6 linked regions of the Macaca mulatta genome follow. The protein of the gene in region 6 purifies or fractionates together with the protein of the main gene of each other region. This does not show direct contact. Links are inferred from orthologs where the notes say so. Each region holds a gene or a part of one and is shown on either strand. Other genes may lie near its edges. The genes, in order: RBX1, OTUD1, TSC22D4, IKBKB, GABPA and KEAP1.

Region 1 (4,240 bases), on a different chromosome or scaffold from region 6:
GGTATGCCTCCAGGACATCATAAAAAAACTACTCTATTTCAAACACACCAAAAGACTAGATACAGAAGACCGAGTGCTCAGAGTAGGCTTGATATCTGCTTGTGAAGAAGAAAATCGGTCACATCAAGATAGCCACAAGCTCTGCAACCTTCTCAACTTCCTCCCATCCTCCTCCAATTACTTACAAAGATCCATAATGTGGTTCCTGCAGATGGCACAGTTATCAACCACAATATCCCAGGCCCAGAGGGCTACTGCATTCCACTGCAAAGACAAAAAGAGGGAACAATGCATTCTCCTTATAACACACACACAGTTTTTAGGACTTCAGGCTGCAGTTGTAGTTATGATCTCTGGCCACAAGGAACCACCAAACAAAAGGTTTTGGATATTATGTTAATCTTATTATACCAAAGACAACAGTAGACAACACATACGTTCTCCTATTCTCCAAAAGACTGAGTATATGAAGACATAAATGAATGTCATCTTTTGTTTCCTGTAGTTTAAAACAATTTAGTCTGGCCGGACGCAGTGGCTCACGCCCATAATCCTAGCATTTTGGAAGGCTGAGGCGGGTGGATCACCTGAAGTCAGGAGTTCGAGACCAGCCTGGCCAATATGGCGAAACCCCGTCTTTACTAAAAATACAAAAATTAGCCAGGCTTGGTGGCGGGTGTCTATAATGCCAGCTATTTGGGAAGCTAAGGCAGGAGAATCGCTTGAATCTGGGGGACAGAGGTTGCAGTGAGCCGAGATCGTGCCACTGCACTCCAGCCTGGGCGATGGAGTGAGACTCCATCTAAAAAAAAAAAAAAAAAAAAAAGCACAAACTTGAATTTCTGTGCAGGTTTTGGTGGCAGTTGCAGAAGCGCTCAAAATCTGAATAAGTATCTGCTCTTCCAGGCAGCTTTGGAAGCATGAGCAATGAAGTGAAAGCTAGGGAACAGAATGAACTAAGATGATGACTGGATCATAAAACAGGTAATCGTGGGATAAGCTGGATAATTAACTGCCCATGTCAGTACACAGAACAAGGTCATCACTTAAATCTTAGATTACTTCATAACAAATTCTACAATTCACTAGAATTTTGTTCGATTCTTACCATAAAATAAACTGATGTTCTGAACTTTTATATGTTTAGACTCTTCTATTAAGATAATAATTCCAGGCCGGGCGCGGTGGCTCAAGCCTGTAATCCCAGCACTTTGGGAGGCCGAGACGGGCGGATCACGAGTTCAGGAGATCGAGACCATCCTGGCTAACACGGTGAAACCCCGTCTCTACTAAAATACAAAAAAAATTAGCCGGGCGAGGTGGCGGGCGCCTGTACTCCCAGCTACTCGGGAGGCTGAGGCAGGAGAATGGCGTGAACCCGGGAGGTGGGGCTTGCAGTGAGCTGAGATCCGGCCACTGCACTCCAGCCTGGGAAACAGAGCTAGACTCCGTCTCAAAAAAAAAAAAAAAAAAAAAAAAAAGATAATAATTCCAGTAAGAGTTTAATTAAAAGTGGCATTTCATTCATTCAACTCTGGTTTCCTCAATTACAAGTACTCCCAAACCTTCATCGCTTTCAAACCCCAGTCTCAGTGCCTAGTAACTTCTTCACCACTTTTCACATCACAGCTTCAACTTGGAGGAAAAGCCCCTACTTCTATTATTCTTCAATATGGCTGGCTGTAACTGAGCAGCAGTGGCCACAATGAGACACCAAAAAGCACTAGGAGGGGGGGGATATTGTCAGTGTTTAGCCAGATGTTCCAGGAATATCTTCCCTATTTCAGAATCTCCATTTCGAATAGTTTTCATGTTAGGTGGGAATCGACACTTTTCTCCCAAACTGTGGCAAACCACTAAAATGCATTTCATGCAAAAGACACGTTCCATTTTTGCTTTCCCCTCTTACCAAGTCATTCGCAACTAGTACTCAACCCTTCCGAAATGCCACAGGATTTGGGCTCGGATTTTCTTAACAAGTTCCACCGTGCTTTTTATTATTATTTCGGAAGGGGGAGATTCTGAACGTGACAGAGAATCCAAGAGTGGGGTGGTTGTGGGAAAAGCCAACAGACGTCTCAGAACACCCAAGCATTACACTCCAGACTCTAACTCGGCGGTGTGAGGCCCAGAGATGGGGTTAATGGAGGCCTCGGTTCAGCGAGGAACAAGTCTGATCCCTTCAAGTGAGAGGACCCCAAGCAAGCTTCAAAAAGGGGCGGAGCAAGATCACTAGCGGGGCTCCTCAGAGGCCTCCAATGCGGTAGGACCTCAGGTTCCAGGCTTTCGCCGCACTGCCCCATCCTCCACCGCCGCAGTCGCTCTGACTCCCCATTCCACCCACCCCACCCCACCCCACCCCACCCTACCTCACCCCACCCTACCTTCCCCCACCTCTCAACCACTCCAGTGACAGCTCAGGCGCTTGGCTCCCGCCGCCAAGTCGCAACCCCGCGTATCTCAACAAGCAGCTCTGTGATTGGCCCCTCAGCCTCACATCGAAACCAACACTTCCCCTGACAGTGGGCCGCCGTCACGCCGATCAACTCTAAGGCCCGCCCCCCGACTTCCTTTCGTGGTACCCGGTCCCAGGAACGCCCTAAAATGAAACCCTTTACTCCGCGCCTCGACCATCCTCGGGCCTGCCAGCCAGATCCGCGCCTCTCTAGCTTCCCTGAGGAAGGCGCTGGCGAGACCCAACCTTTTTCACTTCAAAGCGCTTCTTGCCCGCGCCGCTGTTGGTGCCGCTCGGGGTATCCACATCCATCGCTGCCGCCATTTTGGAAACACACGGTCTGTCGTCCGACCACCGCGCCTGCGCAGCAGCGCACACCTCGTTCCCCCAGCCTCCCCGGCACCTCCTCCCGCACCCCACCCCTTACTGGCGCGCGTGGGGGAGGTGGGGGCGGAGCACGTGACCACGCCTCTTAAAGGGGCTATCGCAAGTCGCCCCACCCGCGAAGTGTCGGCCGGGGAGGGGGCGGTGGCCGGAGTGGGTGGGGCGGGGCGGGGCCGGGCGGGGCCGAGGCTACGTGAGCTAGCCTGGTAGAAACGTTCGAAAGGGCTCGAGGTCGCCGCCTCCTCTGGGAAGCCCCCGGCCGCACTCCATCAGCTGGGGCGGCGGCTGCTTCCTCCGCCTGAGTCGGACCTGCGCCGCAGTCCTGTCCTGCCTACCGGGCTCGCCCGGTCGCCGCGCGACTCCCATTGCTAGCCGGGGTGGGCGCCCGCCGCCTGCCCCGAAACCTGAGAGCCCTCGCTGGTCTTTCGCAGACTCTGACCCACCTCCGAGCCAGGCCCAAGGCGCAGTCCGCGTGGGAGGGCTGGGGCCCAGGCACCGTCTGGTCTCCGATTTCTGTTCGGGAACTGCTCAGGGATCGATGGGGAGAGAGGAGAGCCCCGAAGGTCCTCCCTAAGGCCAGACTGAGCAGGCCCCCAGTGCTGCCCTCATCCCCCCGCCAAGCCTGGAGGGTGGCCTCTGCGCCCGCTTAGTCGCAGTCCTAGGACCGCCTTTGGTCGTGGTGCGCGGTTTCACCGTGGCGTGTGTCAGTCCCCACTTCTCATTCCTCAGTTGTCATCTTGTGTAGGGTGATTTCTCCCCAGTCTGTGTCCTCTTTCCGCTACTTGTGCTATAGTGAAACCGACCCATCTGCAGTCGCTGTATTTCTTTAATTTTTGTGAAGCATTCTTTTTGGGGTGTTTTTTTGAGACGGAGTTTCGCTCTTGTTGCCCAGGCTGGAGTGCACTGGCGCGATTTCGGCTCACTGCAACCTCCACCTCCCGGGTCCAAGCGATTCTCCTGCCTCAGCCTCCCTAGTAGCTGGGATTACAGGTGTCCGCCACCACGCCCGGCTCTTTTGTATTTTTAGTAGAAACGGGTTTTTACCATGTTGGCCAGGCCGGTCTCGAACTCCTGACCTCAGGTGATCCGCCTGCCTCGGCCTCCCAAAGTGCTGGAATTACAGGCTAGAGCCGATTTTTTTTTGTTTTAAATAGAGACAAGGTCTCACTCTGTTTCCCAGGCTGGTCTCGAACTCCTCGGCTCAAGCGATCCTCCCACTTCGACCTCCCAAAGTGCTAGGATCACAGGAGTGCGCCACCGCGCCCGACCCAAGCACCTGTACTTTGTGTCACTCTCCCTTTTCTCGCTAGACCAGGACTCCCTTTGACATCTCTAACCTTGCAGAGGTATGACTCCGCCAGAGCACTCTTAGATCTCGTACAGGTGATTTGAAGCCTTTTA
Region 2 (3,953 bases), on a different chromosome or scaffold from region 6:
ATGTAAAAGAAATATTAAGACAGTGTTCTCCTGCTCTAACTGCCAAGGGTGGCTCCAGACATTTATGCCATTAGTTTATAAATCTCTTAGTTGGATCCAAGAAGTTAAAGCAGGAGGCTTATCTTGTCACAGAGTTTTATACCATATTAACATTCTCTTTATAACAAAATAACAAATGTCAATAAAAACAATTGAGAGCACCAGACGATCTACTCTACATATCAACCAGGGTACAGAATAACCATTCTGCCATCAGCAAATATCAGACTTTCATTCAAGTAAGACCTGGTACTATCCCTTAAAACAGGAAAAAAAAGAAAAAAAACACCTTCCCACAACCTTCCATTAGATAATTTTCTTTAAAAGATTCACCATTTCTAGAAAAATAATGATTTCCAAAACAACAGCTCTGTTTCATCAAAATGGAATGGGCCAAACATCTGGTAACAAGAATGTTTCAATATCCATTTGAAATAATTATCTAAGAATTGTGAAATTCAAATTTCAACAACATAAAATAACTACCAAATCACAAATTCTGTTCAAAATAATACATTTCATATAAAGCACTTCTCTGGATTTATGCCTGAACACATCATAGATGAAGGTACACCAGTTTTTAAAAATGTTGTGCAAAAATACATTTTTATAGAAAATAGACTACCAGGAATGAACAAATTTACACTGTGAGAAATCAGCTTGCAAATTAAGTAGTGCTCACTTTATACAGCAAATTATAAATAGCAATAAAATCACCCAAAGCTATCATGAAACATCATTTAGGTGGCCCAGCAACCTTCAGCTCCGAGAAAACATTCAAAAAGATGATTAAGGCATTACACCTACAATAAAATCTACTAGCAAGTTTGAAAGTGCTATTACCCTGATTAGAGTTCATGTGATTCTCCAAACACAAGTTATGTATGCAATTATTCCCAGGGTGTAAGGTTTTGAGACATTTCAAGAGCATGCATTTTGTTCAATATACATTTTGGATAGGGATATGGCCATAGATTTGGCAAGTTCTTCGTCGCGTTTCCTTTGCACTTGAGTTTGTTTGCACCAGTTGTCGTACTCTGGGTTAGGATAGGAGTGATCAAATACAGCATCATAGTGTCCGTTACTGAGCCAACTGAGCCAAATACTAGGCCTCAGGGAATCCTCTGGGCCCAAATAATGAATCATAGTAGACACCGTGGGGCTCTCCAGCCTCCCTCCAGTAGTTAAGTGGATATTCACATTCAGCATCTGCCCCATGGCCAGCAATTCCGGGTACCCAGCCCATGCCCCGTCTTGGGCAGCAGCGATGATAAACTCCCCCACGTCGCCCTCAATCAGGGGGCTGAAGTGGTCGAGATGGTCGGCGATATAGTGCACCGTCTGCTCCCTCAGCTCCCGGTGCAGGCTCTGGTCCCCATACACCGTCTTGCTGACAGCTCGGTAGAGGCAGTTGCCGTCGGGAATGATGTGGAATCGGTACTTATTCCTCTGCCGCAAGTACTTGTCCTGCTTCTCCACCTCGGCCAGGTACAGGGCCAGCTTCTCGTCTCTGGGATCTGACCTGGAGACGATCACCGGCTCCGCCGCGCTGCTCGGGGCGGTCTCGATGCTCCGGGCTGGGGGTGCCTCGGCCTCTGGGTCGGGCCTCCGCGCCGCGTCCCCACCGGGAGCGTCGCAGCGGTCGCCGCCCCTCTCCCAGCCCCTAGGGCCCCTTTCCACCAAATGCTCTTCGCCCCACGGACCGGGGTCGGGGCTCCCCGGGGTCGGCGCGGGGCCTCGGTGCTTGGCGGCGGCCAAGGCCTGGCGGTGCTCGCTCAGTCGGAAGTTCCGATCGGGCCCCTCCCGTGTCGCGTCCAAGCCCGCGGACTCGGGGCAGTCGGGCCGCAGCAGCTCCTCCAGGAGCCAGGCCGAGGAGCCCCGCCGCGGCGGGACCGGGGCTGCGGGCGCTGGGGCCAGCAGGAGGCAGCGGCCGCGCGGGGCAGCGGCGGAGCCCGCGGTGCCGGGAGCGGGCTCGGGCCCGTGCAGCAGGAGCCTGTCGGCGCCCAGGGCCCGCACGGTGATCTGCGCGGTGGACGTGTAGTGCGGCGGCAGCGGCGGCTTGCAGGACGCGCCAGGCGGGCCGGCGGCGGCAGAGGCGGGCGCGGCGGCCCCGGACACCACCTCGAAGCAGGAGGAGAAGGCGGGCATCTTGGCGGCGGGGACAGCGGCGGCTTCACGGTGCTCGGCGGCCGCGGCGGGCTGGCACTCACCGGTCTCGGGCTCGGGCGCGGCGCCGGCGGCTCCCGGGGGCTGCAGCGAGACCTTGAAGGTGGGGGCGGCGGCGGCGGGTGGCGCGGGGGCGGCGGCCGTGGGACCCGGTGACCCGGAGGGGTAGTGGGTGCAGACGCTGCTGTAGAGCTGCATGTCCCTGCCCGCCGCTCGGCCCCTTATAGGCGCGGCGAGCCCCGGAGCGGGGGACACACCCTCCGGGCCCGGGGGAGGGGGCCGGCGGAGCGCGGTGACCCAACGGCCCCAGAATAGAGATGAGCGCAAGGCCGCTGGCCGCCGCGCGTCAGCAGCCGCGAATAGCGCCCGGGTCCCGGCCAAATTCCTGCTGCGCCACAGCGTGGGGGGGGCGGGGACGGGACGCGAGCTCGACTCCTGCCGGTGCGCTCAGCCCGCAGACCCGGGGCGTCGCGCCCGCTGCAGCTGCTCCGGCCTGCGGCGGCCGCTGGGGACTCACGGAGGAAGCCGCCCGCCTCGTTGGAGCGCGTCCTGCCGGCGAGGAGGAGCGCGGTGCGCGCGGAGGCCCGGGAGGCGGGGCCGCGGTTGTTTACCTCAGGCCTCGCGGCCGCGTCACGTGGACTCGCTGGAATGCGCGGCTTGTCTCGGCGCCCGATTCAGCCGCGTCGGCTCGCCCCGCCCACTCCGGCCCGCGCCCCGCCCCCTGCTCCGCTCCGCCGACGTCACGGGCGTGGCCCTCGTCGCGCGCGCGGGCGGGGCGAGGCCGGGGGCTCGGAGGCCTGAGCAGTCCGGGAATTCCTGGCTGGGCCTCCCGCCCACGTGACTCCCGCAGACCGCTTCCCCGACCTGGGCACGGGTTTCTGCGCTGCACCACTCTCCGCAGCGGCTGCAGTGGGTGCTGCGGGATGGGCGCTTCTTGGAGCGAGTTAGCATGCTCGGAAAGCTTGCTTGGCAGGAAAGCTTCTGGCATGGGTGTGGAGAACAGAATGCTGTTTGGCCTCTGCATGGTCATGGGCTACCATCCCTCCTTGCATCCACTACTGCCTCTTTTATCTTTTTAGAGATGAGGGTCTCACCTATCTCCAAAGCTGGAGTGTAGTGGCGCAGTCCATAGCTCACTGAAGCTTTGACCTCCCGGACTCAAGCGATCCGCCCACCTCAACCCAGGTGTGCACCACCGCCCCCGGCTAATTTTTTTTTTTTTTTTTTAAGGCGAGGGTCTCACTATTACAGTTGCCCAGTCTGGTATCGAACTACTGGCCTCAAGTTGTTTCCCGCCTTGACCTCCCAAAGTGTTGGGATTACAGGCCCTAGCCACCAATCCTGGCACCACGAGTCTTTTCCTCTTTTTTTTTTTTTTTCTTTTCCTTTTTAAGGCAAGGTCTTGCTCTGCCTTCCAGGCTGACTGCAGTGGCGCCATCATGCCCCACTGCGACCTCCACCTCCGAGGTCCAAGCGATCCCCCTTCCTCAGCCTTGCCTTGGGCAGGGATTACAGGTGCCCAGCTAGTTTTACCACTGCGTCTTTTCTATGCACTTCCTTGGACCCACCTGTTAAGGGTGAGTCCTCTAGTGGATTCTCCTGCCCTGCGAAGACAAAACCAACTTTTCTGCACCTCTGACCTATGTCACTTGGCAAATACCTGCTTGGGCGAAAGCAAGGAAGCCTTTTAGCCCTTTATAAACAGCCTTTCTCAGAATACCAAATGCAGTATCACCTAGGGCCTTTTG
Region 3 (3,522 bases), on a different chromosome or scaffold from region 6:
CTTCCTCTGAGACCCCAGACCCAGGTCCCAGGCCCATAGGCGGTTTTTTTTTTTTTTTTTGAGACGGAGTCTCGCTCTGTCGCCCAGGCTGGAGTGCAGCGGCCGGATCTCAGCTCACTGCAAGCTCCGCCTCCCGGGTTCACGCCATTCTCCTGCCTCAGCCTCCTGAGTAGCTGGGACTACAGGCGCCCACAACCTCGCCCGGCTAGTTTTTTGTATTTTTTAGTAGAGACGGGGTTTCACCGTGTTAGCCAGGATGGTCTCAATCTCCTGACCTCGTGATCCGGCGGTATTTTTTTTTTAAGACAGAGTTTTGCTCTTGTTGCCCCGGCTGGAGTGCAGTGGCCTGATCTCGGCTCACTGCAGTCTCCACCTCCCAGGTTCAAGCGATTCTCCTGCCTCAGCCTCCTGAGTAGCTGGGATTACAGGCACCTGCCACCACGCCTGGCTAATTTTTTGTACTTCTAGTAGAGCCAGGGTTTCACCATGTTGGCCAGGCTGGTCTCGAACTTCTGACCTCAGGAGATCCGCCTGCCTCAGCCTCCCAAAGTGCTGGGATTACGGGCATGTGCCACCATGCCTGTTCCTTTTTTTGTTTGTTTTTTTGAGACAGGATCTCACTCTGTCTTCCAGGCTGGAGTGTAGTAGCACGATCTTAGCTCACTGCAACCTCTACCTCCCGGGTTCAAGCAATTCTCCTGCCTCAGCCTCCTGAGTAGCTGGGATTACTGGCACCCTCCACCATGCCTGGCTAATTTTTGTATTTTCAGTAGAGATGGGGTTTCACCGTGTTAGCCAGGCTGGTCTCGAACTCCTGACCTCAAATGATCCACCCACCTCAGCCTCCCAAAGTGCTGGGATTACAGGTGTGAGCCACCGCACCTGGCCTTTAGGCTGTATTCGTCTTCTAGGGCTCTGGGCTCAGTTTCTGTTGCCATGGTAACCTTTCCCATTTTTGGTCTTCTCTGGAAAGTCAGGGACCCTCTGGCCAGGTCCCGGGGTCACCCATGATGTGAGCCTTGTGGGGTTTTTTGGTAGTAGAGCACTCATGATCTATGGAAGACCACGAGTACGTCAGAACGCCCCCTACCCCAGCCACCTCCACCCTCTTTCCCAAGGCCTTGAGGGACAGAGGGGACAGGATGGGGTCAGAGGTGGGGAGGGGCCTCCGAGGGCCAGGCCCTTCGTCTCCCTTCACACCCTTCACTCCCCTCTCAGACCCAGGCTTCTGCCCCACGCCCCTCCCCTGGCCCAGCCACCAGCTGACTTCCTCGGCCGGCCCCCTCCCCTCCACTCTGGGATTGGTGCCAGGGTGAGAAGGGGACACTGGCACTGACCGTGTCTGGGAATTCCCGCCCACCGAGGAGCCGAGGGGAGGGGGGGTCCCCGTGTCCCCAAGGAGCCAATAGCAGCCAGGCCTTGCCCTTGGGGGGGGTGGTGTATATCTTTCAGGCCAGCACCCCCGAGGCACTGTCTCCTCTCTGCCTGCCTGGCACCAGCCAGACCCCGCTCTGCCCGGGGGGCTCTGAGCCCCCCAGGCATTCCCTTCACTGCATCCTTCTCCGTTGGGGGGGCGTCTAAGGACCCTTTCCCCTTGGGCATGGCCCAGCCAGGGATCTCTGTCAAGTCCCTGGTGTCATCTTATGAGACCCGAGTGGTGGGGATGGCTCCGGGGCTGCCCCGAAAAAGGGACTGTGCCTCTTCCCCTTGCTCTCCCCGGGGTGCGTCCCCCATACGAGGGACATCTGGGCCCCCGCCCCACCGGGGCCTGGGAGGCCCTGGGCAGCGGCCCTCAGCCCGCAGGGGGATGGACAAAACCCTCCTCTCCCTCATTCTCTACTGTCACAGGTATAGGGGGGTGTGGGCGGGAGGCTGTGGTCCAAGAAACCAGCACCTGGGAAGGCTCCTCCTCTCCTCCCCTCACCTTCCTGTGTCTCTCCAGTGGCTCCGGAAGCCTGGTTGGCATTGACAACAAAATCGAGCAAGCCATGGTAAGAGAAGCCATCTTGGTCCCAGGAGGTCCCGGCCCCCTTAAGCCATCCCTCCGCCCCAGCCCTGTCTTCTTCCTTACCAGGGAACACCAACTCCCAGTTCCTCCATCCCTCTCCCTGCTGGGCTCCTGGGCATCCTCTGCCCCCTCCTACCGCCACCTGCACCCTTGACTTTGCCCAGCCTCTGGTCTGGCTGCTGGTCCCCATCTCTGTCTTTGAGCTCTGACTCTGCCTCTGTCCCTCGTCCTTTTCCCCTGTCCCTTCCCTGCTTTGTCTCTCATCCTCTGGACACGGGACTCTCTCCCATCCCGGCCCTTGAGGCACTGGGCAGGGGATGAGGCACCCACTCCGTTGACACTGTGCCTGTCCCCGGGGCCCCCAGGATTTGGTGAAGTCCCACCTCATGTTTGCGGTCCGGGAGGAGGTGGAGGTACTGAAGGAGCAGATCCGGGAACTGGCAGAGCGGAACGCTGCGCTGGAGCAGGAGAATGGGCTGCTGCGCGCCCTGGCCAGCCCGGAGCAGCTGGCTCAGCTGCCCTCCTCGGGGGTCCCACGGCTTGGGCCCTCCGCGCCCAATGGGCCCTCCGTCTGAGCCTCCCTTCCCTTACAATGTGCCTTTGGGGCTGCCCGGCCTTTTGTCAGCCGCCTGCCCCCTCTTCCTATGCAGCTTTAATGTCCCCATGTCCCCAGGGTGGGAGTTCAAGGCTCAGTAACGGCCTGGTCCCCCGGCCCCTGCCCCATCTCCTCATCATCCCCAGCCTTGATGGAGGAGGGAGGACTTCAGGACGGGGCATCAGAGGGAGCCCCCTCTGGGAGGGAACCAACCTCCACCCTCCCTCATGGGACCCCCAGCAGTCGACGGCCTGGGGGAGTTGGAGGCTCCCTGGCAGACACCCCACCCCCACCTTGTTCCCTTGAGGTGCATCCTCTCCTCTGCCCAGGGGAGGGAGTGTGGACAGTATCTGGAAGTTCTGGGATTCAGGTTGTTATTAAAATAATAATAATAATTAAAAATTCTGAAGAAACTTGAATTTGGAGGTTGACATCTCGTTCGTTGCTTGTGTTCAGACTCAGGGGTCGCGCCTGCCATTTGGGGCTTCCCTGAGATCTTTTGCAGACTGGGGAGGTTTAAAGCGTGGGAGATGGAGGGGTTGAGACAGAGACTGGAGAAGGGAGCCAGCGGTTCGGGTCCTGGGAAGGGGCAGGCGAGGATTGGGGGTGGGGGGGCGTCTGCCCACGTGCTGGGCGGGGGGACCAGGAAACAATGAGGTCTTTGGTGGCTGCCCAAGATCCACCCCCAGCTTCCCAGTGTGTCCCCTCTGCGGGCTGGATCCGGGTGGCTGCTTGGGGGCGGGGCGGGGGGCCCTGAATGGGCCCCTTGTCTCTGGGCTGGGTGTGGGCCAGACTCCCTGGGCACACGGTGCCCTTGCCAGGCCTGGCCGGCCGCCGTGGCTCCCACCCCCGGCCAGCTGAGGACGGGCCCTGTGGGTGAGATGGCCCCTCCCTGGCAGCCTGGGCTCCAGTCCCAGGC
Region 4 (4,046 bases), on a different chromosome or scaffold from region 6:
GGCTCTATCTCAAAAAAAAGAAAAAGAAATGAGGCTGGAGCAGTTGGGTGAGAGGTGGGGTGGTAAGGAGACAGCCCGAAGGGCAGGTGCTATGTGGCTGTCGATCGGTGTGTACATGTGACCTCGGAGCACCAGGAGGTGATTGCAGGTGACACCTGAGGACTGGAGATCCCTCCCATGCAGCAGACAGGGTGGGATTTGGCCTGCAGCTCGCTCTGCTGGTCCCCACTGTGCTGTTTCTGTAGGAAACAGGTGAGCAGATTGCCATCAAGCAGTGCCGGCAGGAGCTCAGCCCCCGGAATCGAGAGCGGTGGTGCCTGGAGATCCAGATCATGAGAAGGTGAGGGCCTTGTGCACCCCAAGGGAAAGCTGGAGCAGCAGCCCCCCGTGTGTCTAGAAAGGAGAGTCTTGCTGGGCACGGTGGCTCACGCCTGTAATCCCAGCACTTTGGGAGGCTGAGGCAGGTGGATCACGAGGTAAGGAGATTGAGACCATCCTGGCTAACACAATGAAACCCCATCTCTACTAAAAATACCAAAAATTAGCCAGGCTTGGTAGTGGGTGCCTGTAGTCTCAGCTACTTGGGTGGCTGAGGCAGGAGAATGATGTGAACCCGGGAGGCGGAGCTTGCAGTGAGCCAGGATCGCGCCACTGCACCCCAGCCTGGGCGACAGAGCGAGACTCCGTCTAATTTAAAAAAAAAAAAAAAAAGAAGAGGAGAGTCTTAAATCTCTGCCCCTCCATCAGGGCGCCAGCCCGACAGTCTCCACGGTGACTCTGCTGCTTCTAAAGATGCCAGAGGAAGAGCAGCTAAAGTCCACACTGGGCCTTGTCGGGGACTTTTCATCAGTTTCATTATATTAAATAAGTTAACACAGTTATCACAGTGACTTTTCCTTTGTCAGCAAAAAAAAAGCCTTCTTTCCTCCTGTATTTCCAGTTCCAAGGTGGTACATGACCGTTCTCTGCTGTCATGCTGCCGCTGACATTTATTCCTCTAGTGTGGAGACTGGGCCGTCCATCTGCCCGGTGGCTGCTGACCCCCTAGCTAGTGAGGTGGGCTCCGAAAGAGCCAGCGAGGAGGACACCAAGCAGGGGCTCCTCTGCCAGCCTCTTAAAAAGAGGAAGTGCCATTTGGTTACATCATGGTTCTATCTGGTTACACATGAGTTCCTTCTCAGATCCCTCTCTGTGTGTCCACCTTGGGGTGATGTGTGTGGGTGAATCAACCTGCCGAAAAATAAACAGAGAAAAGAAAAAAAATACGAGAACAAAAAGAGCAGGCACCACCTTGTTTGCCTGCTTGCATGTGTGACACATCCCCCCCATGTGGAGGGCATGAGATTGGAAGGTCTTCAAAGGAGCAGTTTGGCAGCACGATGAGGACTTGGGATGTAGCACGCACAGAAAATGGAAGTTACACGGAGTGTGCCCTCAGGGTCTGAGTTCTGGTGCTGCGGGTGGGGCTGGGTGCACGCCACTGACCGGGGCATTGCAGTTGGCCACCCGTACTGGGCTCTGTCTTCCTCTGTTTCGAAGCCCTGGGTTATCCTGGGCCTTTGTTGCTGAGACCTGATGGGGGTGATAGGGATGGGTCTGGGCAGGAGTCTGGCTCTGCTCTCATCGGTTTTCCTCCTTCCTAGGCTGACGCACCCCAATGTGGTGGCAGCCCGAGATGTCCCTGAGGGGATGCAGAACTTGGCGCCCAATGACTTGCCCCTGCTGGCCATGGAGTATTGCCAAGGAGGAGATCTCCGGAAGGTGAGGCTCCCGCGGCTGCCAGGCATACAGCCTGTCTGGGCAGGTGGGACACCAGGAAGGGGGATGGGAAGACCTTTCACTTCTGTCATCATCAGGAAGCTTGGGGACCCCCAGCAACTCCAGCAGGGCTGCTTTGCCTCTCAGATCCTCTGTTCCCTGCCCACCTGGGGCTGGTGTGTGTGTAAGTCAGAGGCACTTCCGAGAACACCAGGGAAGGGGGAAGGGCGTGCTGCACACTCTGCTGGGATTATTCCAATGACAAGGAAAACTCATCACAGGTTTGGGCGTGGGGAAGGACTGGGCAAGTTCCAAAACAAATGCTTCCTCCCTGGGCGTGTTAGGGCCACGTTAGGCCTTTGGTGCCAGCGCCACTGCTCTCCTTATTAGGAGGGATCTTATTCCAGAGATGGGACAGCACCACACATGGGGGCAGGGAGCATAGAAGAGAGGGAGTGGGATTCATGATCAGAGAGCTGGGCCAGGGCTGCAGACCTGCCCCAACCCATCCGACCCACCCAACCCACCTGACCCACCTGGACTCATCTGTGGGGCTCTGCTCTCCACCTTCTCACCACACCACCTCCTGTTCCCTAGAGTGTTCACTTCTGGTGGGTGGATGGCAGCCCCTTCTGGTCTCAGGGGCAGTTGGGTGCCCTCCTCCCCGTTGTTCCCTATGATAGTACCACATAGCCTGCTAGTACATGTTACCTCATTCGATTTCCAACAGCTCACACATGAGTGCACAGGTATGGTTCCCACATCACGGGTGGATATCACAGCCCAGAGAGGTTGGGCCTCACACAGCTGTAGCAACAGAGACTGGGTCCCAGTCCACACAGACCTAGCCGCAGGCCACCTCTCCATCTCTAAGACTGAATAAGGCCATATAACATGATAACTGGAAGCTCTGAACAAAATATATTTTTTTTTTGAGACAGAGTCTCGCTCTATTGCCCAGGCTGGAGTGCAGTGGCGTGATCTCGACTCACTGCAGCCTCCGCCTCCTGGGTCCAAGCGATTCTCCTGCCTCAGCCTCCCGAGTAGCTGGGATTATAGGTGCCCGCCCCCATGCCCAGCTAACTTTTGTATTTTTGGTAGAGGCAGGGTTTCGCCATACCAGCCAGGCTGGTCTCGAACTCCTGACCTCAAATGATCACCCACCTCAGCCTCCCAAAGTGCTGGGATTACAGGTGTGAGCCACTGCGCCCAGCCAAAAAAATTTTTATTTTAATTGAAAACGAGGTCGGTTACTCTGCGAGTGCACCTCTTTACTTTGGAAGGGTCACAATAGTGAGGGTGGGAGCCCAGGCGTTTATTCCCTTTCAGTGGCTATTCCCAGACACACTTCAGGTGCTACTCTTACTGTTCCTCCAGGCCCTTGTGCCTCTTAAAAAAAAAACAAAAGCTTTCCACTTTGGGAAGCTGAGACAGGAGGATAGCTTGAGGCCAGGAGTTTGAGACCAGCCTGGGCAACATACCAAGGCCCTATCTCCTCAAAAAATAAAAAACGAAAAATTAGCCAGGTGTGGTAGTGTGCGCTTGTAGTCCCCACTATTTCGGAGGCTGGACTGGGAGGATGGCTTGAGCCTGGGAGGTTGAGGCTACAGGGAGCTATGATTGCGCCACTGCATGCCAGCCTAGGCGACAGAGCAAGACTCAGTCTCATGAAAAAAGATAATCCTGTCTCAGAAGAAATAGACAGATAAATAAAATAAAAGGAAACTTGCCGTGGGCTTGGCCTGCCAGAGTGGCTCTCCCTGGAGATAGGCATGTCCTGGGAGTGGCACTCACAGCAGGATATGAACACAGCCCTTGGCATGACCCACAGTGAGAGATGGGGGAACTTGACAGCACTTTGATTTTTTCCTTATTTTTCTAACCTTTGACAGTCACCCATTACTGACTGCAGCTGTGTAGAGATAAAGCCATGTTGTAGTCAAGTGGAGACTTCCCAGAGGGCAGCCTGGAAGTAGGTGGGATGTGGCCAGATTACAGAGGGCTCTGAAGTGAGGCAGAGGCTTTTAGACTTGGTCTTTTAGGTGGCAAAGAGCCAATGAGCCAGAGAAGAAGAGATGGAAAGTTTAACATGACTGACCTGGCGTGGGTTGCAGGATGATTGAGGGGGAGGCAGGAAGGACTCGCATCCTAAGGAACCCCTATCCTTGCTGTCACCCAGTGGGGTTAGGGGAGGACACTGTTGCCCACTGTCTTGTTGTCTGTTGTTTCCTTTGTTCCCTCTAAAAAGTTCAAATCTATAATACATCCGTGGGCAAGGAGAGGCAGGC
Region 5 (3,500 bases), on a different chromosome or scaffold from region 6:
TTTTGTGGAGACAGTCTGGCTATATAGCCCAGGCTGGTCTCAAACTCTTGGCCTCAAGAAACCCTCCTACCTCAGCCTCTCAATGTGCTGGGATTACAGGCATGAGCCACCACACCTGGCCTGAAATTCTTTTAATGAAAGAGTCAATGCCTCATTTTATCAGCATATAGTTATCAAATCCTTCAGAACTTCACATTAATTAGCTTTAAAGTTATTTACTCTTATTTTTTTTTTCGAGATGGAGTCTCACTGTGTTGCCCGGGCTAGAATGCAGTGGTGCAATTTCAGCTCACTGCAACCTCTGCCTCCCAGGTTCAAGAGATTCTCATGCCTCAGCCTCCCAAGCAGCTGGGATTACAGGCATGCGCCACCACGCCCAGCTAATTTTTATATTTTGAGTAGAAACAGGGTTTCACCATGTTGGCCAGGCTCGTCTCAAACTCCTGGCCTCAAGTGACCCACCCGCCTCAGCCTCCCAAAGTGCTGGGATTACAGGCGTGAACCACCACACCCGGCCTGAAGTGATTAATTCTTAAATGTGAAAAGATGGGCAAAAATAATTAGATATTTGAGAGAGGTTAAAAACACCACAAACAAAAACCACAAGAAAAGCAGAATCCACAAGAAACAGAAATACTGCAGTAAAGCTTTTTAAAAGTTAAAACTATAATCAATATACTCAAAGAAGTAGGAGAAAACATGACATTGGCAATATAAGATCAGAATGCTACAGAAAGGCACAAACAAAAACGAAGAGCCCTTGTAAATTAAAAATCAGATAGGTTATATTATAAAGACAAGAAAATCTGGCAGAAAGTAGTGCAGATAGGAAAGACGAAAAATAAACAAGAAAAAAGATGCAGCAGATCAACTCAAGAGATTCAACAGGAGTTCCGAAAAAAGAACACAGAAGTATTTATCAAAAGAATGCAGTAAGAACATCCAGAACTAAAGGTGACAATTATCAAGATCAGGGCTGTCCAACAGAAATATAATGCAGACCATTATGTAATTTTTAATTTTCTAATAGTTACATTTAAAAAGTTGGCAAAATACATCTTTTTTTTTTCATTAAACTCACTATTTATTTATTATTTTTATTATACTTTAAATTCTAGGGTACATGTGCATAACGTGCAGGTTTGTTACATATGTATACTTGTGCCATGTTGGCGTGCTGCACCCATCAACTTGTCAGCAATAATGAATTTATTTTAACTTAATGTTCCAAATGTTATTTCAACCAGTAATCAATATAAAAAAATTTAAAAAGATTTTACATTCTTTCTTTTAATGGGTATTTTACATTCATAACACATCTTAATTTTGACCAGGGACACTTCAAGTGCTCACACGTGATGAGTGGCTACAGTCCTGGGCAGTAGAGGGACAGACTGAAATTCTACACTAGCTGTCTGGTTCCGTAGCTCTCTTTCAGTTCCATGGGTAAGCTCTATCATTTATTGTGTATCTTTTAGGTTTGGTTTAAAGAAAGAAAAAAATGTCTTAGGGAAAACAGCAGTTCTATAACACAGCCTTTCTGTCATCAGCACTGCTCCCCAGGTACAACCTTGTCTCTAAAAATAAAAAATAAAAAAAGGACAAAAAACCCGACAATACTGTTTCATTTACAAATACACTGAGGTCCCCACCAACTCTTGGATGATCAATAGTATTTATTTGTTACCCCAGCATTCTTCCTCATCCGCCCCCACTTCTAAGATGTCTATTTCTTATAATACTGTTTTGTCTCACCAACTCTAGTTACTTTTGTCTAAATTTAAGAATGATCCTCTGATCATCACATTTAAGAGATATAGTGAGCATTCTTTGACTTTCTCGGCAGCATCTGAGAGTCTTGACCATCCAAACTCTCCCCTCAATTTCAGTGACACTATACATATAAGTTATTTCTTTCTTTCTGTCTCTTCAGTTATTTCTTGTCTCCCTTTTCTCCAACCCTAAATGTTTATAGGGTCTAGGATATATGCTTTAGTTGTGTGTTCTTTTCCATTCCTTGCTTCCATCAGGGACTACGTAGACTTTTATAGCTTCAAATACAAATTCAATGTGAATGAGTCTCATATAACATCTTTGTCTCCAGCCCAAATCTTATATAACTGAAACCATTTTCTGGCTACCTGCAGCTGAATATAAACTTTCACCTCAAAATCAAGTGCTATCCACCTTCTCTTGAAAAAAGCATTTCCTATACCAGACTTCTCTACTTCCCCAACTGGGCTATTGAAGGCATGCTCTTTCTAGTGCACCATCTTAATTAAGCCCAGCATTTAACATGGTGCCTGGCATATAGTAGTGTTCACTAAACATGCAATGATGATGGAACCAATTTTTATCAAGATTATTACTGTTTTAGTCACCAAGATGAAGCTTGAGAAGTTAGATCAATACTTGTATCTTCTCTCTCTACTCTCATAAAATCTGTCAATCTGCTCAGTCCTATTACTATTTTCATCTACTTTTTCCTTTCTACTCCCAAAGAAATCACCTATCATCTAGCCACAATTATAATATGCTCCTGTTTTCCCTTCACTCAGTCTCTACCTGTTCCAACTGACACCATATACCACCACCATATTCATTTTCCAATTATTTTCATCAATCAAAACAGTTCTGTAATGCTACAGAGTAACTCCTTAACCACTCAATTTTCTCACTACTCACGCATACCCCCAGGTCTAAGCTTTGCACATAACACTTCCTGTCTTAAATATCTTTCTCTGCCCAATAGTATCTTATTTATAATAAACCTTATTTATAATAAACCCTTTTCACCTTTCCCTCAGGGCAACTAGGATCCCTTTGAGATTCCAATAGCATGCTGCTTCTATAAGAGTTACTGACAGTTTAAAAACATGTTACCTTTTACAGCAATTATCACTTTTCATCTATCTTCTCTCTCTTCAACTACACTCTCAACACCCTAAGAGCAGAAATTTTTTAGACTTCTTTGTACTTCCGGCACGCAGGACTGAATTTGTCCACCATATGAGCTTAAATGTATATTACAATTAAAAAAGAGAGATAAGAAAATCAACATTCATTCTAATAACTCTACATGTAAAATAGATTATAACTTACCCTAGTGTCTTCTATGTCAAGCTTAATTCCTACTGTTCTACCCAATATAGAATTACGTATTTCATTACCATAGGGTATCCCAAGGCGTTCTTGTTCTTTCCTATAGCCTTCCAGTGCAGCAGCCCATCTTGTCACTTGTTCTGAAGTTTCATCTGAAATGGTTGTGATGTGTTTTGTGCCATCAAGAGTTATCACTTGAGCTTCTTCAACAAGATGTGCTTCTGATTCAGCATGGTGGGCATCTGGATCAATAACAACCTCAACAGTGTCCGCAGGTTTAACAATTTCAAGGATGTTTAACTTTGGTTCAATTCCTTAACAGTGGATAAAAAAAATTATGAATCTAAATGAAAACACAGAAGTCACCAAAACATAATTTAGGGTATATGTTCCAAAAT
Region 6 (3,914 bases):
TTGCAGTGAGCTGAGATCCGACCACTGCACTCCAGCCTGGGCGACAGAGCAAGGCTCCGTCTCAAAAAAAAAAAAAAAATACAAAATTAGCCAGATGTGGTGGCACACGCCTGTAATCCCAGCTACTCGGGAGGTTGAGGCAGGAGAATCACTTGAACCCAGGAGGCAGAGGTTGCTGTGAGCTGAGATCACGCTATTGCACTCCAGCCTGCGCAACAAGAGCAAAACTCTGTCTCAAAATAAAAGGAAAAAAAAAAAAATGAGCTTGGGGAGCCCTGGGAGATGTGACTAGGAATTAGCTCCTTGTCTTCCAAGGCAGCTGAAACTGAAGGACAGCTGTGTGGCTTGCCTATGGGGAGAAAGATGCCCTACATATCAAAATGCGATGGGCAAAGATTACAAAACGGTTTCAAATACCAGCCCTAAGTCAAAGAGGAGTGTGTTTCAGGAGAAGAGCCCTTTCTGGCCCCGGGTTTCAGACCTCCAGCCCAGAGCCAGGGTGAAAGACACTAGTTAGTCTGTTCTTTATTTTCCTTGGAAAATTACAGGGTTACTTATCAACAAAATAACTGTCCATCCGGTGGGGAAGTGCCATCCGGTGGCTTCTATGTACAGGCCCATCCCTGGGAACCACATTTCCAGAGGGGGCCTCCGCCTGAGGCCCCCATTGGCCCCCTCCCAGGTATCCAAGAACAAATCACAAGGTGAGGGCTGCCGGCGTGGCTGGCTGGGTGGGTGGGACCCAGGGCCAGAGGGTTTGGGGGCCTCTCTCCTGGAAGCCTGCTCTTTCCACACCCCCTTTCCCAGCCAGGCTGTCTTGGACACTCCTGGGGCTCCGCTGAGAGGCACATGATTCCCGCTTTGGACTTCTTTTTGAGATGTCATTTTAACACTGAGGCATCGCGGCCTCCCTTCCCGGAAGATGGGTTATTTGCAGTGCTGTCTTTTTTCTTTTAATCCTGGTTTTTGTACAAAAACAATGATACTCCCCATTGGACTGTATTTTCGCCCAAGAAACAAAAGTGCCTCAACAGGTACAGTTCTGCTGGTCGATCTGCTTCCGGCAGGGCTCCATGGTGACAGCCACGCCCACTCCGCTCCGGCCCGATGTCATTCGGGTCACCTCGCTCCAGGTGTCTGTATCTGGGTCGTAACACTCCACACTGTCCAGGAACGTGTGACCATCATAGCCTCCTGCAGGAAGAACAGAAGGGACGGTCACCACCTGTCACACCACATCCAAGAGCAGGGGACAGAAAGAGGGAGAAGCAGCTGTGAGATGCAAAAGCAGGCCGGGCGCAGTGGCTCACGCCTATAATCCTAGCACTTTGCAGGGCTGAGGCGGGAGGATCGCTTGAGGCCAGGAGTTCGAGGACAGCCTGGGCAACATAGCAAACTCTAGTCTCTTACTGAAGAAAAAAAAAAAAAAAAAGGCCAGGCGCGGTAGCTCAGCCTGTAAATCTAGCACTTTGGGAGACTGAGGTGGGTGGATCACTTGAGTCCAGGAATTTGAGACCAGCCTGGGCAACATGGTGAAATCCCATCTCTACCAAAAAAAAACATAAAAATTTAGCCAGGCGTGGTGGTGCGTGCCTGTAGTTCCAGCTACTAGGGAGGCTGAGACAGGAGAATCACTGGAACCTGGAAGGCAGAGGTTGCAGTGAGCCGAGATCACGCCATTGCATTCCAGCCTGGGCAACACGAGCAAAACTCTGTCTCAAAAAAATAAAATAAAAATAAATAAAAACAGCCGGGTGCTGTGGCTCACGCCTGTAATCCCAGCACTTTGGGAGGCCGAGGTGGGCGGATCACAAGGTCAGGAGATTGAGACCATCCTGGCTAACATGGTGAAACCCCATCTCTACTAAAAATACAAAAAAAAATAAAAATTAGCCGGGCGTGGTGGCAGGTGCCTATAATCCCAGCTACTCGGGAGGCTGAGCCAGGAGAATGGCATGAACCTGGGAGGTAGAGCTTGCAGTGAGCCGAGAGTGTGCCACTGCACTCCAGCCTGAGCGACAGAGCCAGACTCCGTTTCAAAAATAAATAAATACATAAATAACATTAAGCCGAGTGTGGTGGCTCACGCCTGTAATCCCAGCACTTTGGGAGGCTGATGTGGGCAGATCACCTGAGGTCAGGAGTTCAAGACCAGCCTGACCAGCATGGTGAAACCCCATCTCTACTAAAATATAAAAATTAGCAGGGCATAGTGGTGGGCACCTGTAATATCAGCTACATGGGAGGCTGAGGGGGGAGAATCGCTTGAAACCAGGAGGCGGAGGTTGCAGTGAGCTGAGATCGCGCCATTGCACTCCAGCCTGGCAACAGAGCGAGACTCCTGTCTCAAAAAAAGAAAAAGCCCCAGCGCGGTGGCTCACGCCTATAATCCCAGCACTTTGGAAGGCTGAAGTGGGTGGATCACGAGGTCAGGAGTTCGAGACCAGCCTGGCTAACATGGTGAAACCCTATCTCTACTAAAATACAAAAAATTAGCCAGGTGCGGTGGCACACACCTATAGTCCCAGCTACTCAGGAGGCTAAGACAGGAGAATTGCTTGAACCTCCAGGAGGCGGAGGTTGCAGTGAGCTGAGATCATGCCATTGCACCCCAGCCTGGGCAACATTGCGAGACTCCATCTCAAAAAAACAAACATTAGCCGGGTGTGGTGGTGCGTGCGTGTGGTCCCTGCTACTTGGGAAGCTGAGGCAGGAGGATGGCTGGAGCCCAGGAGGTTGAGGCTCCAGCAAGCTGTGATCACACCACTGCACTCAGCCTGGGCGACAGAGCGAGACCCTGTTTCTAAGAAAAAAAAAAAAAAAAAAAGGAAAGCAAAAAAGCAAAAGCAGCCACAGTCCACAAGAGATGGGGCTAGTCGGGACTCTTCCCCACCCCCAGGGCCTCACCAAGGACGTAGATTCTCCCCTGGTGGACAGTGATCCCCAGGGCACTTCGCCGGTGCTTCATGGGGGCTACGAAAGTCCACGTCTCTGTTTCCACGTCATAACGCTCCACGCTGTTCAGCTGGTCCTGACCATCATAGCCCCCGGCAGCATAGATGCAGTTGTGCAGGACACAGACGCCTAAAGGGCACCGTGCAGAGAAGGTGACTCTGGAGGACTGGCTTTGGGAGCCCCAGCCATCACCTCCTTGAGGGAGACCTTTCCTCTCTCCTCTCCCTTCTCACCCTCAGAAATGAAGCATGGAGAGAGAGAAGCTTGGACTCTATCAGAATCCAGTGCTTCTGTGGTTATCTCAGGGTGAGGGTTGCAACAGGGGGTCTCTCCCAGGCCTGGCTCAGTTTCACCCCAGGATGGTGGGGGTGTTCCTGGATGCTCCCCTCACTACCGTCCCCACCCACCTGCCCCGCTTCGGATGGTGTTCATTGCTGTGATCATTCGCCACTCGTTCCTCTCTGGGTAGTAACGCTCAGCTGAATTAAGGCGGTTTGTCCCGTCAAAGCCCCCCACGGCATAAAGCAGACGATTGAGGACGGCCACGCCCACCCCGATCCTTCGTGTCAGCATTGGGGCCACCAAGTGCCACTCATCCCGCTCTGGCTCATACCTGCAAGGGCATAAGAAAAATGGGGACAATGGCCATTATAGCTGACCTTCGTGGAATACTTAAAGGCCTGATACCCCTTTTTTCCCTTTTTTTCTTCCTTTAAAGAGACAGGGTCATCAGGCGCAGTGGCACGTGTCTGTAATCCCAGCACTTTGGGAGGCCGAGGAGGGTGGATCACCTGAGGTCAGGAGTTTAAGACCAGCCTGGCCAATATGGTAAAACCTTGTCTCTATTAAAAATACAAAAATTAGCTGGGTGTGATGGCAGGTGCCTGTAATCCCAGCTACTCGGGACGCTGAGGTGAGATAATCATTTGAACCTGGGAGGTGTAGGTTGCAGTGAGCTG

What was found.
Region 1: the proteins of KEAP1 (region 6) and RBX1 purify together in Homo sapiens (affinity purification with western blotting; 6 studies listed by BioGRID). This does not show direct contact. The link is inferred for Macaca mulatta from reciprocal best matches to the Homo sapiens genes KEAP1 and RBX1.
Region 2: the proteins of KEAP1 (region 6) and OTUD1 purify together in Homo sapiens (affinity purification with western blotting; 3 studies listed by BioGRID, with this or other methods). This does not show direct contact. The link is inferred for Macaca mulatta from reciprocal best matches to the Homo sapiens genes KEAP1 and OTUD1.
Region 3: the proteins of KEAP1 (region 6) and TSC22D4 purify together in Homo sapiens (affinity purification with mass spectrometry; 4 studies listed by BioGRID and IntAct, counting the BioPlex papers as one, with this or other methods). This does not show direct contact. The link is inferred for Macaca mulatta from reciprocal best matches to the Homo sapiens genes KEAP1 and TSC22D4.
Region 4: the proteins of KEAP1 (region 6) and IKBKB purify together in Homo sapiens (affinity purification with western blotting; 7 studies listed by BioGRID and IntAct, with this or other methods). This does not show direct contact. The link is inferred for Macaca mulatta from reciprocal best matches to the Homo sapiens genes KEAP1 and IKBKB.
Region 5: the proteins of KEAP1 (region 6) and GABPA purify together in Homo sapiens (affinity purification with western blotting; 3 studies listed by BioGRID). This does not show direct contact. The link is inferred for Macaca mulatta from reciprocal best matches to the Homo sapiens genes KEAP1 and GABPA.

The regions. Positions count from the first base shown.
Region 1 is NC_133415.1:10,578,625-10,582,864, forward strand, and holds the start of RBX1 (E3 ubiquitin-protein ligase RBX1), read right to left. Parts: upstream 2,801-4,240; 5' UTR 2,780-2,800; coding exon 2,702-2,779; intron 265-2,701; coding exon 186-264; intron 1-185. UniProt on the Homo sapiens protein: E3 ubiquitin ligase component of multiple cullin-RING-based E3 ubiquitin-protein ligase (CRLs) complexes which mediate the ubiquitination and subsequent proteasomal degradation of target proteins, including proteins involved in cell cycle progression, signal transduction, transcription and transcription-coupled nucleotide excision repair.
Region 2 is NC_133414.1:24,895,283-24,899,235, reverse strand, and holds the start of OTUD1 (OTU domain-containing protein 1), read right to left. Parts: upstream 2,801-3,953; 5' UTR 2,404-2,800; coding exon 961-2,403; 3' UTR 1-960. UniProt on the Homo sapiens protein: Deubiquitinating enzyme that specifically hydrolyzes 'Lys-63'-linked polyubiquitin to monoubiquitin.
Region 3 is NC_133408.1:47,666,715-47,670,236, reverse strand, and holds the end of TSC22D4 (TSC22 domain family protein 4), read left to right. Parts: intron 1-1,942; coding exon 1,943-1,991; intron 1,992-2,373; coding exon 2,374-2,583; 3' UTR 2,584-3,022; downstream 3,023-3,522.
Region 4 is NC_133413.1:44,370,619-44,374,664, forward strand, and holds the start of IKBKB (inhibitor of nuclear factor kappa-B kinase subunit beta), read left to right. Parts: upstream 1-1,246; 5' UTR 1,247-1,410; coding exon 1,411-1,439; intron 1,440-1,643; coding exon 1,644-1,761; intron 1,762-4,046.
Region 5 is NC_133408.1:21,748,940-21,752,439, forward strand, and holds part of GABPA (GA-binding protein alpha chain), read right to left. Parts: intron 3,417-3,500; coding exon 3,171-3,416; intron 1-3,170.
Region 6 is NC_133424.1:11,213,280-11,217,193, forward strand, and holds the end of KEAP1 (kelch-like ECH-associated protein 1), read right to left. Parts: intron 3,569-3,914; coding exon 3,363-3,568; intron 3,085-3,362; coding exon 2,908-3,084; intron 1,195-2,907; coding exon 1,028-1,194; 3' UTR 501-1,027; downstream 1-500. UniProt on the Homo sapiens protein: Substrate-specific adapter of a BCR (BTB-CUL3-RBX1) E3 ubiquitin ligase complex that regulates the response to oxidative stress by targeting NFE2L2/NRF2 for ubiquitination.